Lonchura striata: one gene and its partner. The protein of the gene in region 1 purifies or fractionates together with the protein of each later gene. This does not show direct contact. Links are inferred from orthologs where the notes say so. Each region holds a gene or a part of one and is shown in the gene's direction. Other genes may lie near its edges.

Region 1 (7,482 bases):
CTCCTCTATATTCTTCACCTACTTTATATTCTAACAGTGAGACAAATAGCATATCTGAAGAATGACAAATGATATCTACCCCAAGACTTTTCATTCTGGGGCTTATCTAAACAAAAATCCCTTTGGAGGAGTGTTGAGCTATGGGCAGTGTGGGCAGGGCTGTAAAAGAGATGTTAGTTTTTCTTTTTTAAAAAATCCAGAAGTTCTTCTTTAGAATAAATAACACTCTGTTCAACATGTGAAAGAACTCCAAAATGTGCAGCACACTCACCTGTGTTCCACAGCAGCCACTATAAAGCCCTGAGAAGCCATCTCTATGCAAATAGCAGAATAGATTGTCCTGCAATAAAAACCACACTCTGGTGAGAAGTCAGTCTTTCAATTCCTTTGCTCTTTAAATGCTGACCACACTAGGTATGCACTAGTCTCCACTCAGTATTTATTCTCTTTGAATTTGCTACCCAGCAGAGTAAGATTTCATATGCCAGGCACCAAAGCCTGTTCACAAAACCTTGGTACTCTTTTACTGTCTGTTCAGAAAGGAAAATGCCACTGATTTTTAATAAGTAGCACACACAGCACTTTGCATCTTCAAAGAGCTGTCCAAAAATCAACCAGCTGATCTTCACAACCTCCTCATGGGCTGGTAAATATCTTCACCTCCATCATACAGAGGGAAAACACAAATGGAGTTCTGAGCAACCTGGTCTAGGGGAAGGCATCCCTGCCCACAGCAGAGATTATCTTTAAAGGACCCTTCCAATGCAGGCTGTTCTATTATTCTGTGACCAACCATACACCAACCCTGCTGTTGTTTCAGTGGGAGCATAATGACACATGGAAGCAAATCTTTCAGCTCCACAAGGATCTCACCCCCCTACTGAAAATCTGTTCAGAACCACCCTTGGAGATGCTGTCTCCATAGACAACAAAAACAGTTTGTCAATAAACTGCAAAATTACCGAAAAGCTCCAAGTCCATGGGAAAAAACAAGAAGTGGGTATTTTTCTCCTGGCTTAAAAGCAGCATTTGACTTTGCAGGACAGGTCACTGAACCTAAATAAAAATGGAAGTGTACATCATTATTACTGGAATGAGAGAAAGCATTTGTTCCTGTGGGAGAGATCTACGGCTGACCACTGGTATCAGAGCAATCACCTAAAGATAAGGTTCCAAGACTCATCTTTAAAACAGAAGATAAATATGGATCTGATTCTGAAAATAATTTCTACTTGGCAGAAGATACTTCTCCTCCTCCCATCCACAGCCTGGCACAAGGTCTACATATTTGTTAAATCTTCATAGTCAGGCATTCAGATCTTGCTGATATTCAGACCCTAGGATCTCTCTTTTATATCTTTGCACATTTCCTTGTGAGATTTAAATCACAACACACAGGTACAGCTGACCTAGAGCAAACTGCCCAGACACTCCTATCCAAAGCAAGCAGAGACTGCCTGAGAACTGGGGTCACATTCAGCAGCCTCACTACACAAACCCATCCCACAAAAACACACTTCTTTACTAAAAACTCTTCTTCAGCCCTGCAGCAGTAGCACCCTGCTCATGGAGCATGGAGGTAGCAACAGGCAAGGAATAAAAACAGAATAAGTCTTACCAACATAATAATGGAAAAGCCTTTCTCCTACAACTCGGTACATATTAAGGAAGTCAGAGAGTCCCTGATAGTATTCTTTGTCTGGAATCCATCGTGCCTCTTCGATATCTGTGGCATCATATGCTGGATAATACAGGCGCAAAAAGCTTCCCTGGGATTAGGAAAAATTAAAAAAAAAAAAAAAAAAAAGGAATATTGGTATTTATTCATATATGGCAGAGAAAACGGAAGATTAAAACATTTACAGAAAAGATTTTGGTTGCAAGAATGCAGTTCAAGAGAATTATGAGAATGCCATGAGAAAATTATTATCATATACAGAATTTGATGCCAATCCTGTATCACAATCTTCTGAGCCTACAATGAATTTACAGTAACATGACATATACATCATCACAGGTGGAGATACACATCACCTTCCCTAGGTTAGCTTAGGGCTTATTAGAAATGCTTCATTTAATTAAATTATTACAAACACTCACTACCTATATGCCTGATCCAGCATCTTGCTGGATCTTTTCTCCCGTCTTCTTCACTGGGAATGGTTTGATGACGTGTTTTGTTAAGTTTTATAGGGCTGACTATTAAAGGAGTGACTGAAGATGACCTCAGAGCTGGAGCACCTCTCCGAGCATGACAGGCTGAGAGAGCTGGAGCTTTTCAGCCTGGAGAAAATAAAGGTCTCTAACGTGGCTGTAGTGATCCTGCCTAAACTGAGCAGAGGTTGTCAGCAAAGCTCTTGGGCAGCTGCACAGCAAGGGAGAACTATACATTGATTGCTCTTCCTCCTCATCAAGATGTTCACAAGTCTCTTGTGGTACATCTTTCTAAACACAACTTTGTTAGCCTATGTTTCATCTGACTCTGTTTCTTACCACCAGTTCAAATCTCCTACTGTCTGCATTCCAGGTATCCCAGGAAAGTACCCAAGCTTTCCACACTCAGAGGGACCTTCCATTCCGCCTTGTCAGTCTTTTCCTTCACAGACAGCAGCAGTATACCAATGTACACCACAAACAGACTTCCCAGCAGATGAACTGTGTGCAATTTGCATTTTTATTTCCTGGTTTGCAAGGGAATTTGCAAAACCCCACTCAAAATCACTGTCTTGCTTCAGCCGTACTTTTGGTTTAGCAACTTACAATCAGGGCCAAAATAAACATGAGCTTTGAAATAAAGCCTGATTTCTTGAACACTAATTTATCAGTTTACCAAAAGTTTGTTTAAGGAAGCTTGCTTCTATTTACTTATCAAACTTAAATCAACCTTTGACACAGAGACCATTATGGAAAAACTTTCCTCCACACTGGTAGCGGTATTACCTTGATCTCAGAACAGTCCCTGTGAACCTTCCCAATGGCTACATGATTACTAGAAGGAGGAAGAGGTTCATTACTTATGCCTGAGAGAACTACAATTGTTCATAATGCTTATGTAAAAAAAACCCACATGCAAAACTGACTGCAAAAAGAAACTCATCACTTATCTGTGCTGATGTAGAGTAAGCTCAGTAAAGGAAAACATGTGAACCATTACAAACTGATCACAAGTTCCACTACATCAGGCTACTCTGCAGAGTAAAACCACGGTATAAATACAGGTGTATTCCCTCAAGGGCAAGAGGATTTGAAATGGAAGTTCACAAGGAAGCTCATTACTTGTCTGGTTACTGTCCCTAACAGTAACTATTGTGGCTTCTTACTGTGCTAACTTCTTGCCAAACTGACATCCTGTTCATCTTCAGTGAGATAAAATCTCAAGAAGACATCTCATCTTTTACTCTGCAGCTGAAATACTGCATAGGCTAATCTCCCAACCCTGCCAAATTCAGTTGGGATCTTTCTGATGAGAACAGCCACAGAAACAGAGACTGTGTGTGGAGTCTCCGCAGGAGCCCGGCACAGGAGAGAGCAGTGGGGTGGGTGGGAAGAACCCCTTGGGTCCCAGGAGAACACAGTTTCTCTGCAGCATCTTGTGTAGGAGAGTCAGAAAGGCAAGGACATTAGAAGAGGGAGGAATTGGCCATGGGAAAGGCTTGCAGGTTACATCCATATGGTAAACACCCAGTTTACATCCTACACCAGGACAGAGAGGATCAAAAGCTCAGCTGTAAGTGTCAGCATGGAGTACACAAGCAAGACCTTCTGCTTTAAAACTGCAGCCAGTTGTTTCACTAATATTGTGGCTTAAATCCAAAGGAGAAAGAGTAGAAAGCTTTACCTCAACTGCATTTTCTGTCATCAGGTCTGTACATCCAACCGAATGTGGTCCCTTTCCTTCAGGGATCCTGTAAAACTTCTCAGTGCTGCTGGTGCTCGACATTTCCATTGGTGCCTTCACTGCCAAACACGGGGAAAAACACAAAGCAAATCAAGAGACCACCATGGCCTCTGTGACCAGACCACCCACACTGAAACAAATCCAGCACGCTGAAAATCTAGAATTAGGAAAGTCAAGATAGAGCCAATACCAAAGTCTGCTTTTGAGAAACAAAAAAATCCCGAATTGTCAATCTGACCTGTTCTACTGGGGATTTTCCTTGTTGTATCCTGAATCCCAAGGAGCAGACAACACCGTGCACTTACAGAAAAGTGGGATGAAACCTTTGCCTGGTGAGGCCGCGGCGGCACTCGGGAGATCTGCGGCGCTACGAACCGCACAGAGAGAGGATTCTGCTGCTCCTCAAGGAAAACCGGCCTGTGCATCAGGGGGAGTGGGATGTCACGGAGAAACACAACGCCGCTGCCATTTTTCCAGCAGGAATGACGAATGCCAGGCTCGGCCCCTGGCGAGACAAGGTCAGGCTGCCCGTGCCGGAGCGGGTGTCGGGACGATGTGGCCGTACCTGGGTTGACCCCTCCGCGCCGGGCTGGCCCCGGCGATGCGCAGCGCGCGGGGGGAAGCAGCCGCATCCCAAGCTGGGCTCTATTTGCCGCCTTCTCCTTGGGGAAGGAGACACGGAGCCATCCTGCTCCCGGCGCCCCGCTGCCCGGCCGGGCTCCCCCGGGGCGGGCCTGCCGAGGAAGCACCCCCGGGGCGGGGCTCGGCTGCTCCTCCCCGGAAAAGCCGCGGGACCGGCGGCCGCCCCGCCCCGGAAAGGTCCCTCTCCGGCAGCGGCGCGGCGGATCCCGGTCCCGCCAAGATGGTGCGGAAACTGAAGTACCACGAGCAGAAGCTGCTGCGGCGGCTGGACCTGGTGAACTGGGAGGCGTCGGGCGGGAACTTGGCGGAGGTGCGGGCGCTGCGGCGGTACCGGGTGGGCCGGCGGGAGGACTACGTGCAGTACAAGGCGCTGGCCCGCGCCGTGCGCGCCCTGGCCCGGCGGCTCCGCGACCTGGGCCCGGCCAGCGCCGCCTTCCGCGCCCGCTGCGCCGCCGCGCTGCTGGAGAAGCTGCACGGGCTGGGGCTGGTGAACAGCCGGCAGTCGCTGGCCGTCTGCGAGAGCCTCTCGGCCGCCGCCTTCTGCCGCCGGCGCCTGCCCTGCCTGCTGGTGAAGCTGCGCATGGCGCAGAACCTGCGCCACGCCGTCACCTTCGTGGAGCAGGGGCACGTCCGCGTGGGGCCCGAGGTGGTGACGGACCCCGCGCTCCTCGTGCCCCGCGCTGTCGAGGACTTCATCACCTGGGTGGACGCGTCGCGCCTGCGGCAGAAGGTGCTCGACTACAACCAGGAGCGCGACGACTTCGACCTGGCCGCCTAGGGCTGCTGCCCTGCCTCACGGGACACGCACACCCATAAGATCACGGCGGTGCCACCACGGGATATGCACACAAAAGGAAACTGTGTTTCCAGGGTCGTATTGACCTGCTGCTGGTTCCCTTTTGCAGCTAATGGTTCCATTCATCCATGCATTAGGAACTACCTTTACACATCCACTGCTTTGAGAATGCATCCAGTGGCCCAGCTCCATCATCGTCCCTGGCATTCCTAGTTTCACTGTCAGCCCAGCAGCTCAGCTCCATCATCATCCTCAACGTGCCCAGCTCCATCATCGTTCCTGGCATGCTGTCCTTGTTTAGGGAAAATTTTCCTTCTCTCTTGCTTCACTCTCAGATCTAGTTTTAAAGGTGCAGAACTTATTTCTGGGCTAAAGAGACAGATGGGGGTACCAGCATGATAAAGTCACCTCAGGACACATGCTCAGCTCCATCATCATCCCCAGCCCAGCTCCCTCATCCTTAAAAGTGCATCTCCATCATCCTTTGGAATGTGCTTGGAAAAGTTGCTGCCCAGTTGCAGGAGAGGATTTAGGTCAGGCTTACGTGCTTGGCAGCTTAATAGCAGCTGCTGGAAGGGGTTTTAACCCAAGCCAAGTGTCTGTTTTAAGACTGAATTTAGCTGCTTCGCTGCTCTTTTTCCAAGAGGTTGTCCTGGTTTCTCCTTCAGCTGTTGAATGCACAGAAATCAGTTACTTCTGGAAGGGTTATCTCTTTATATCAAGGAATAAGGAGGGAATGTGGGGATTTCTGGGGGTCAGCAGTAAACAAGAAGGCCAAATACCCGGTTTCTGAAACTGTTGAAAGTTTTAGCCAAAAAACGGAATTAAAAACAAAACAAAAAACTTTATTGTCATGTGAAGTTGTAAAGGGAAGTTTGATGCTTTGAGTTGTGTCTTTCTTGTGTGGGGTTCCAGATGAGTACTAGACATAATTTATGGACCAGGATCTAACTGGGGAGCTGTTGGAGCAGAAGCTGATCTAACCATAACTGCAGATTTGGGGGAACTTTTGCATTTAGCATATTAGCCAGGGGCCATTGGAAATTTGTTCCCTTTTGATAAAAAAAGCAGAAGAAAATAAAACTCTTGGATTGTTTAGTTTGTGAAGAAATGTGTGGACTGCTTTATGATATAACTTATCTGAGTTTATTCTGATTTTTAAGCCCTGTTTGCCACCTTTCTGAACTTTTTAAAAGTTTTTATGTAACTTACTTAAGTCTGGTTTTGTTTTATTTTATTAGCTAGAAGGCTATTACTGAGTTGTAACATGTTTATCCTAGGAATGCTCTCTTTTCCTTACCTGGGGCTATGAAAGGATTTGGCAGTAGGTTTAGGAGCAGAGCTGTGACTGTCCATCCCAAATCCAAAGAGCCGGAGTGCAGCTACTGTCAAAGCTCTGGATGTGGATGCCTTTGTGGCTTTTTTGAACAAAAAAAGTTCCGGTGAGATTTATTTTGGAAGTATTGCATGCCCACAATCTGTCACCAAATATTATGTCATGTTTTTATAGGGCAAACAGAATATTTACATTTCTTCCCAATCTCATAAGCCAGCTGTATTAAGCAGAACAATTACTAAAGCAATAATAGATATTAAGAAAAGGACACTTAACAGGTGGATAAACTGTTTGCCTACTGCTGCTGTTTATGCTTCAGTTTATTTCAGTAATCATACCTCAACAACATCTTAACCTTTTTCTTAGAGTGTGCATCTTGCTTATGGTAAGAAATGCAAATTGAAAAAAAGTTTCACACCTTTTAAACACCTTCCCAGCTTCCCTTTCCTCTAGATCAATGCCATTATTTCTTGGGAAAATTAGAAGGTGCTTTATTCAGGTGCAGGTTAAAATAGTGCTTCTGCTGTGCTTTACTCTTTTGGGGGAATTTAATTAACAGCACAGTGACTGTGCAGGGCATTTTACTACTGAGATGCTAAACTCCCACTCTACCCAGTGTGTCCAACCCTTGGAGGAAGTGCAGAAAAGGAAATAAACCTCCAGCCTGTCAGCCTCTGCAGTTTACATCATCAGCCCATTCCTTTTGTATGAAACAACTTTTTATCATTCATCTGTGCACCTTCAGTGTGCTGCCACACCTTCAGCATCTGTAGCAGAAGAGAAATAACCCTGTAGACTGTTAAGCAGTGG
Region 2 (6,242 bases), on another chromosome or scaffold:
ATTCCTCACCTACCTGCCACAAGGATGATCCCCAAGGAGATGGCCAAGGCAACACACAGAGTCCAAGTGCTCTTCATCTTGCCTTCCCTTCTTTTGAAGAATGAGTGGAGAGCCTGACTCTGCCTATAAGGGTGTGTGCAAATTGGTTTCCTAAAATAAACAGCCAAGCCAACACTGGAAAATGTGGCTGGGGACTGAAACCAGGTGTGGTAATGCACCAAGACCTCTGGCTTTCGGAGGGGAAGGGAGCAGGGGGTTGCACTTTGATTGTGCTTTTTTCTGTTCTTCACCAACAGGCAACAGAGCTGCTGAGTACAAGGATATCTTGCCATCAGGGCTGGTGGGAGGTAAGAAAGTCCAAGAGTCACAGCTGTGGCACCTAATTTTGAGAAATCAGACTTTAAAATCCCTTGAGTCCTATACCACTTCAGGTTTAAAAATCAAAATCCTGTTTGGACAGCTGTCTGCAAACCTGAATTAAGGGTTGGACCTGACCCAGAGAGCCTGCAGTCAAAGCAGGAAAGGTGACAGGGCAGGGGTGAAAGAGGTACAGCCACTGCAGCTCTGCTCACTGCATTGAGGAGTTGGTCTTCTTGTGAATGGAAGAGGAACTCCATGGGATTTGTGGTTTACGAGAGGCCCTGAACCAGGTGCCAAGAGAACCCTGGGGTGTTGGGCATGCAGATTTTCCTGGAGGAGAGTGGCACTGGAGAGAGCCTGGGATTTTTTTTTTTTTTTTTGGTCCCAGATTTGGGATCATTTATGTAACTTCTGAAGAGCAAATGTTGCCTTTAATGGCCAGAGCTGTCTCTGTAGCATTTCCATGTGTCTTGTACAGAAAAAGGCACTTTTTCAGGGAAACCCAAGCTTAGCAAGGACCTGGTTGCTCTTGCTGGGCTTCTTCAAGAGGCTGAACTCTTTTGACAATGCTCCCAAGCATCCTGGCTACTGTGACCTTGCAGGATGTCTCCCTTTTCTAGACCCTGCTGGCTGAGTCCCTAAGGCCAGAACTGTTCCAAGTCCCTGGTTGTGTGCCCTGAGCTTTTTCCTCAAGCACAAAGCCCTCACCCTGCAGCTGCATGATGCAAGGAGCTTTCAGGTTACATCAGCAGTGCTCATGTGCAAGGGGAGCTTGGGACTTGGCAGGGGATGATGGGGGGTCACAGCTAACTCCTTGCAGGGCATTGGGTTCTTCCACAGTTCTTTACAAACCTTGTGCTCTCGTTAGGGATCTGTCTGTAGCAAAGCAAAGATGTGGGGTTGTTTCCTTTCTCCATCCCAGAAGGCATTGCTAACAGTTTTATGCAGCCCTCTCTCTGAGACAGGGGCAAGATGTTCCCTTGTGCCCCATTTTTGGCAGGAAGTAAAAAATTCACCTGGCTCACCAGTGCTGGTAGGGATGGCTGTCTAAAGTACTGTTTGTTTGATCACCCTTTTTTGTAAGAATTTTGCTAGAATTATACAAGAACGGAGGATGCCAGCACCAGGATAGACAACAAGCAAGGCAGGCTGGTGCTGATCTGTTTTGCCCAGCTGCAATAACAAAAAATATGGCACTGGGAACATGCAAGGAGAATATTTTCAAATGTCAGGGCAGAGACTGAGCAGAATTCTAGCTGTGTCTTTCTGTTCACTTTGGTGGTTTTCCTTTGCTGTTGGTGCTCAGCATATCTGGATTTCAGTTGCTAAATCTACACGTGTGTGTGCAGTCCCTTGGTGTGGATATGATGACATGAGAGCTATTTTCAGTCCCTTCAGCCACCTGCATGTCTCTGGGGATTTCTTGCTAGATCTTGAGAGGAAGATTTATGTTCTGTACTGTTATTTTTATGGATTACTGCTGTTTTACTGGATGACTTCTGGAATTTTATCTGGGCGAGCAGGCATTTGGCAATGGGCTGCATTGGGAGCTGGACTCCCAGCCTCCCTGCAGGGCAGAGGCTAGAGGTGGAATAACTGAGAATTGGAAAAGAAATGGGAACCAGCCCTGTGGTTTCAGTCTCAATTCACATAGCCTGTGCTTCCTGCTGCCCTCAGACATGCAGAACCAGGATTTTCCAGCTAAGAAGCTGGGCAGGTGCCTGAGTGAAGTGGGGTGAAATTGTTGTTGCTGTGCTGGGAGAGTTGGACAGCACCAAGGCACAGGACCTCTCTCTCCACACAACACACCATCCATGAGCAGTCTGCCCTGTGCTTCTCCTTGCTCCTCCTTTCTCACTTGGAAGCCAACAGAATGGTGCATCTAAACAGACCAGCAGCAGTTCCTGATTGTTGTCTTGGTAGCAGTGGTTCCATGATGTTTACAGCAAACTGGTTTGGCTTTAGCAGCTCCTGGTTGACTGGATCAACTAACTCATGCTGGAGATCATCTCCAGCTTCACCAGAAGTGGCTGATGCTTTCACTAAGTCCTGGAAAAGGTTTGAATAGACACAGATTGTTTCCTGCTCTTGGAAATTAACTTTGGGAGACATGTAAATTCCATTTAAGTCCAAGTGGAAGTTAGTATGCCAATTTTTCAAAGGGCAGACTTGATTAGGACACTTAAGATGGAAACTCTCAAACTCTCAAGGTCAGGGACATGAGAAAGGCCTGGGTTTCTCTAAGTCACAGCTGCAAAAGTTACCTGGAATTTTAGGCTGGCAGGATCTGGCTGCAGATGTCTCTGCATGGATTCACACAAAAAGCCAGCAGGACTGAGCAGTCACCTGATGAGGCTATTCCTTGTCCCCAAAGACAGTTGTATTTAGTGGTCAAGTATCAAGTGAAGCTTTACACCAAAGTATAGCCAACAAATGTAGTGGATGCTGTTTCCAGACCCAAGTTACTCTTGTTGCTCTTTCTTCTACAGGCCTGTATCCAGCAAGGTGATGGCTGAAAACTGGCAGGGACTGATTTGGAAAAGTGGTCTGAGGCAAAAACTGTGTTTGTGCAAGGAAACTTTGATCCAGAGGTGACTATGTGAAGAGGCTGAGTGTCTCAAAGTCAAAACTGAGACCTGTTTGCCAACAGATTGATCAGGATCCAAATGAATCACCAAAAAGTGAGTAAAGCACCCCACTCTGTTTCAGCTAATTTGAATATCTGTCTGACCTGGGTTTTTTTCTACAAAAGGGTGGACAGGAGCATTTATAAATACACCTGCACCTGTTCTGTGGTGAGAGAAAAGCCCCTGTACTTGTACACGGAACTGCTCTTGCTGGGAAGTGTGCATGCCTGATTTACCAGGCTCTGGGTTTCTCAGCTTGGACTGCACTAACTCCTGTGTCTCATTACTTTGTTCTTGTGGCAGGGCTGCCTGCAGCTCATACAAGCAGATTGCTTCCCTGTGTCTCAGTATTAATGTCATTTTCCCTTGGGAAGGGTGGGAGGCTGGGCTGGTGCTCTGCCATGGCTGACAGACACACAAAAACACAAAGATGACAATGCAGAGGCGTATAAATACAGACTGCATTAAAAGCCCTCCTAGGGAAGGGTCTCCAGGTGTTGAAATATAAGAATTGCTCCTTTTCTGGGCCGCACGGGATAGAGTCACGAGTGCAGAGGTGATGAAGCAGCAGCTGCCGAGCTGTGCAGCCTGAAGCTGCCTGTATCCCTGTAGAAGTGCGATTCGGTGACGGGAGAGGTCATGTGTAAACCTCGGAGGTGTCCGCGGAGCTTTGAAAATACTTCTTCTTTCCGAGTTTGATCCGGTCGTAGGGAACTGAATACCAAGTTTTGGTTACAAGGGCACAGGTGTCAGGTGTGTTTTTTTCCTCGTTGCCGTAAGATGACCGCACAGACAACAGCTGTACTGGTTGGACTTCCAGAGGAAGAAAACCCCGAGGAGGAAACAAAAGGATTGTTGTTGTTTGTTTGTTTTTTCTTCTTTTTTTCCACGTGGCATCACAGCTCGAAACGGCGCCGCCCCGCGGGCTGCCCGGGGCGCTCCCCCTTGTCCCCGGGGCGCTCCCCCCGTGTCCCCGGGGCGCTCCCCCGTGTCCCCGGGGCGTGCCCGCGCTCCGGGGCTGGACAGGAAGGGCCCGGAGCGAGCGGAAGGGACGCAGCGGAAGGGGAAGCGCGGCGGCGGAGCCATGCGGACCCGGCGCGGCACCGTCCTGCGGCCGCGGGCCGAGCCCCCCGAGCCCGCCGATGACCCCGCCGAGGTGCCCGGCGGCCGCGCCGGCCCCGAGGAGCTGGCGGACGATGTGGAGCGCTTCCACGAGGAGCAGTTCCGCGCCGTGATGGCCGCCCTGGACAGCGGCGACGAGGCCGGGGACGAAGAGGAGGAGGAGGAGGAGGTGCTGGGTCTGCAGCTGCCCGAGGACAGCGAGGAGGAGGAGGAGGATGAGGAGGAAGAGACGGAGGAGCGGAATCCTTTTGTGGAGTACAGCGCAGAGGAGGATGATGGAGAAGATGAAGAAGGTGAGGAAGATGAGAATGATGTTGAGGATGGAGAAGAGGAAGGAGGTGAGGAAGATGAAAATGACGTTGAGGATGAAGAGGGGGTCCTGTCCATGGAAAGTGACTTGGAGGAGCGCCATCCCGAAGCCAAGCTCCCCCATGAGCTCTCCTGGGGCCAGCGCAAGCAGCTCTACTATGACACGGACTATGGGAGTGATGCCCAGGCCAAAGGCAAGCGGAGCCAGCAAGAAATCGATGCTGAGGAGGAGGAAGAGGAGCAGGAGGCTCAAGTCATCCAGAGACGGTTGGTGCGGGATTTGGGGGAGGATGATTATGGTTTGGACATGATCCAGGGCTACCTGGCTAAGCAGCAGAAAGGCCACGATAGCAAGGGGCAGAAAATTGATAAGGATCTGCAGGCCCTTTCCAAGAAGGAGCAGCTGAAGCTGCTGAAGCAGGAGTCCCCAGAACTCCTGCAGCTGATGGAGGACTTTGAGGTGAAGCTCATGGAGATCAAGGATGAGCTGCACCCACTGCTGCAAATGGTCAGAGATGGCACTATCCCCCAGGGGAAGGGCAGTCGCTATTTGCAGACCAAGTATCATCTCTACCTGAACTACTGTGCCAATATCAGTTTCTATCTGGTTCTCAAGTCCAAGAGGATGCCAGTTCATAGTCACCCGGTCATTGAACGGCTGGTGGAGTACAGAAATATCATCAATGACCTCTCTGTCATAGACCAAAAGCTTTCCCCACAGGTTCGTATGCTTCTGAGGAACTACTATGACAAAAAGGAAGAGAAGCTACAGAAGGAAAACAAATTTTCGGTTTTTCTCACAATGAACGGCACCAAAAAGAAACCTAAACGTGCCTCTGTGCCTGTTAAGGGCCAGGCTGCTGCTGCTGAGTCGTCAGATGAGTCAGAGCTGGATGAGGAAGCGGCCCTAAAATACTACAAAATGTTTGAGGAGAAGCTGGCACTCAAGAGGAAGAGAACTGGAGATGAAGATGTGCTTGAAGAAGCAGCGGTGTCAGAAGGAGAGGATCCCAATAAAAAGAGAGGGGTTACCTATCAGATGATCAAGAACAAAGGCCTCACGCCCAAGAGGAGGAAGATCGACCGCAACCCCCGGGTCAAGCATCGGGAGAAATTCCGGCGAGCCAAAATCCGCCGCAAGGGCCAGGTCCGCGAGGTGCGGAGGGAGCTGCACAGATATGCCGGGGAACTCTCTGGCATTCGGGCTGGGGTTAAGAAAAGCAGGAAGCTTAAGTGAAAGTCATCTTTTTGTAAGAGCTGCAAGTAGCAGTACTGAGTCCAATAAAAATTTTATACACGGTGTTGTGGGGTTTGTTCTTAAGGAAGGTGGGTGGTATTTGGTTTTTCAGAGGGGGCTCGCTAGAAGGTGCCATCTCCAAGCGGCACAGGGGCCCTTTGCACACCTTACCCATATCTGAAGGTTTTTTCCTCTGTTGTGATGCTGTTGTGTTTCCCTAAACAGGAAGCCTTGAGAGTTTGCAGGGAAAGTATCAGGCAAAAGGAATTAAATGGGACTGGTGGGGAGATGAGGTTGGATGGATGGACCTCTTGAGGGTGGGTTGGGAAAGGGGTTCAGCAGCTGCCACTGGCCTACTCTTGTTTTGCTTCTAGTCCTGGTCCATCCTGTTCCTGTGTTGAGCTGCACAGACTTGGTTAGTAGTAGTTAATTTTTGTTCTGATTAACACCTTTGTTAGCGCTTAAAAAGTATGGGTATTTCTTTTAAATTACTTAGTCTCACGTGGTCTGAAATACTGTTTCCCTTCCTGAATTCAGTGAGAAGAAAAACAAGGACTTGTCTAGATTTTATAACCATATATATGATA

Evidence for each region.
Region 2: the proteins of IMP3 (region 1) and UTP3 purify together in Homo sapiens (affinity purification with mass spectrometry; 3 studies listed by BioGRID and IntAct, with this or other methods). This does not show direct contact. The link is inferred for Lonchura striata from reciprocal best matches to the Homo sapiens genes IMP3 and UTP3.

The regions. Positions count from the first base shown.
Region 1 is NC_134605.1:108,077,529-108,085,010, reverse strand, and holds IMP3 (U3 small nucleolar ribonucleoprotein IMP3), read left to right. Parts: upstream 1-4,760; coding exon 4,761-5,318; 3' UTR 5,319-6,972; downstream 6,973-7,482. Other genes in the region: PLA2G7 (platelet-activating factor acetylhydrolase), read right to left, coding at 272-340, 963-1,056, 1,619-1,769, 3,839-3,957, 4,137-4,530. UniProt on the Homo sapiens protein: Component of the 60-80S U3 small nucleolar ribonucleoprotein (U3 snoRNP). Required for the early cleavages during pre-18S ribosomal RNA processing. Part of the small subunit (SSU) processome, first precursor of the small eukaryotic ribosomal subunit.
Region 2 is NC_134606.1:72,541,324-72,547,565, forward strand, and holds UTP3 (something about silencing protein 10), read left to right. Parts: upstream 1-4,064; 5' UTR 4,065-4,071; coding exon 4,072-5,655; 3' UTR 5,656-5,718; downstream 5,719-6,242. Other genes in the region: JCHAIN (immunoglobulin J chain), read right to left, coding at 14-77. UniProt on the Homo sapiens protein: Essential for gene silencing: has a role in the structure of silenced chromatin. Plays a role in the developing brain. Part of the small subunit (SSU) processome, first precursor of the small eukaryotic ribosomal subunit.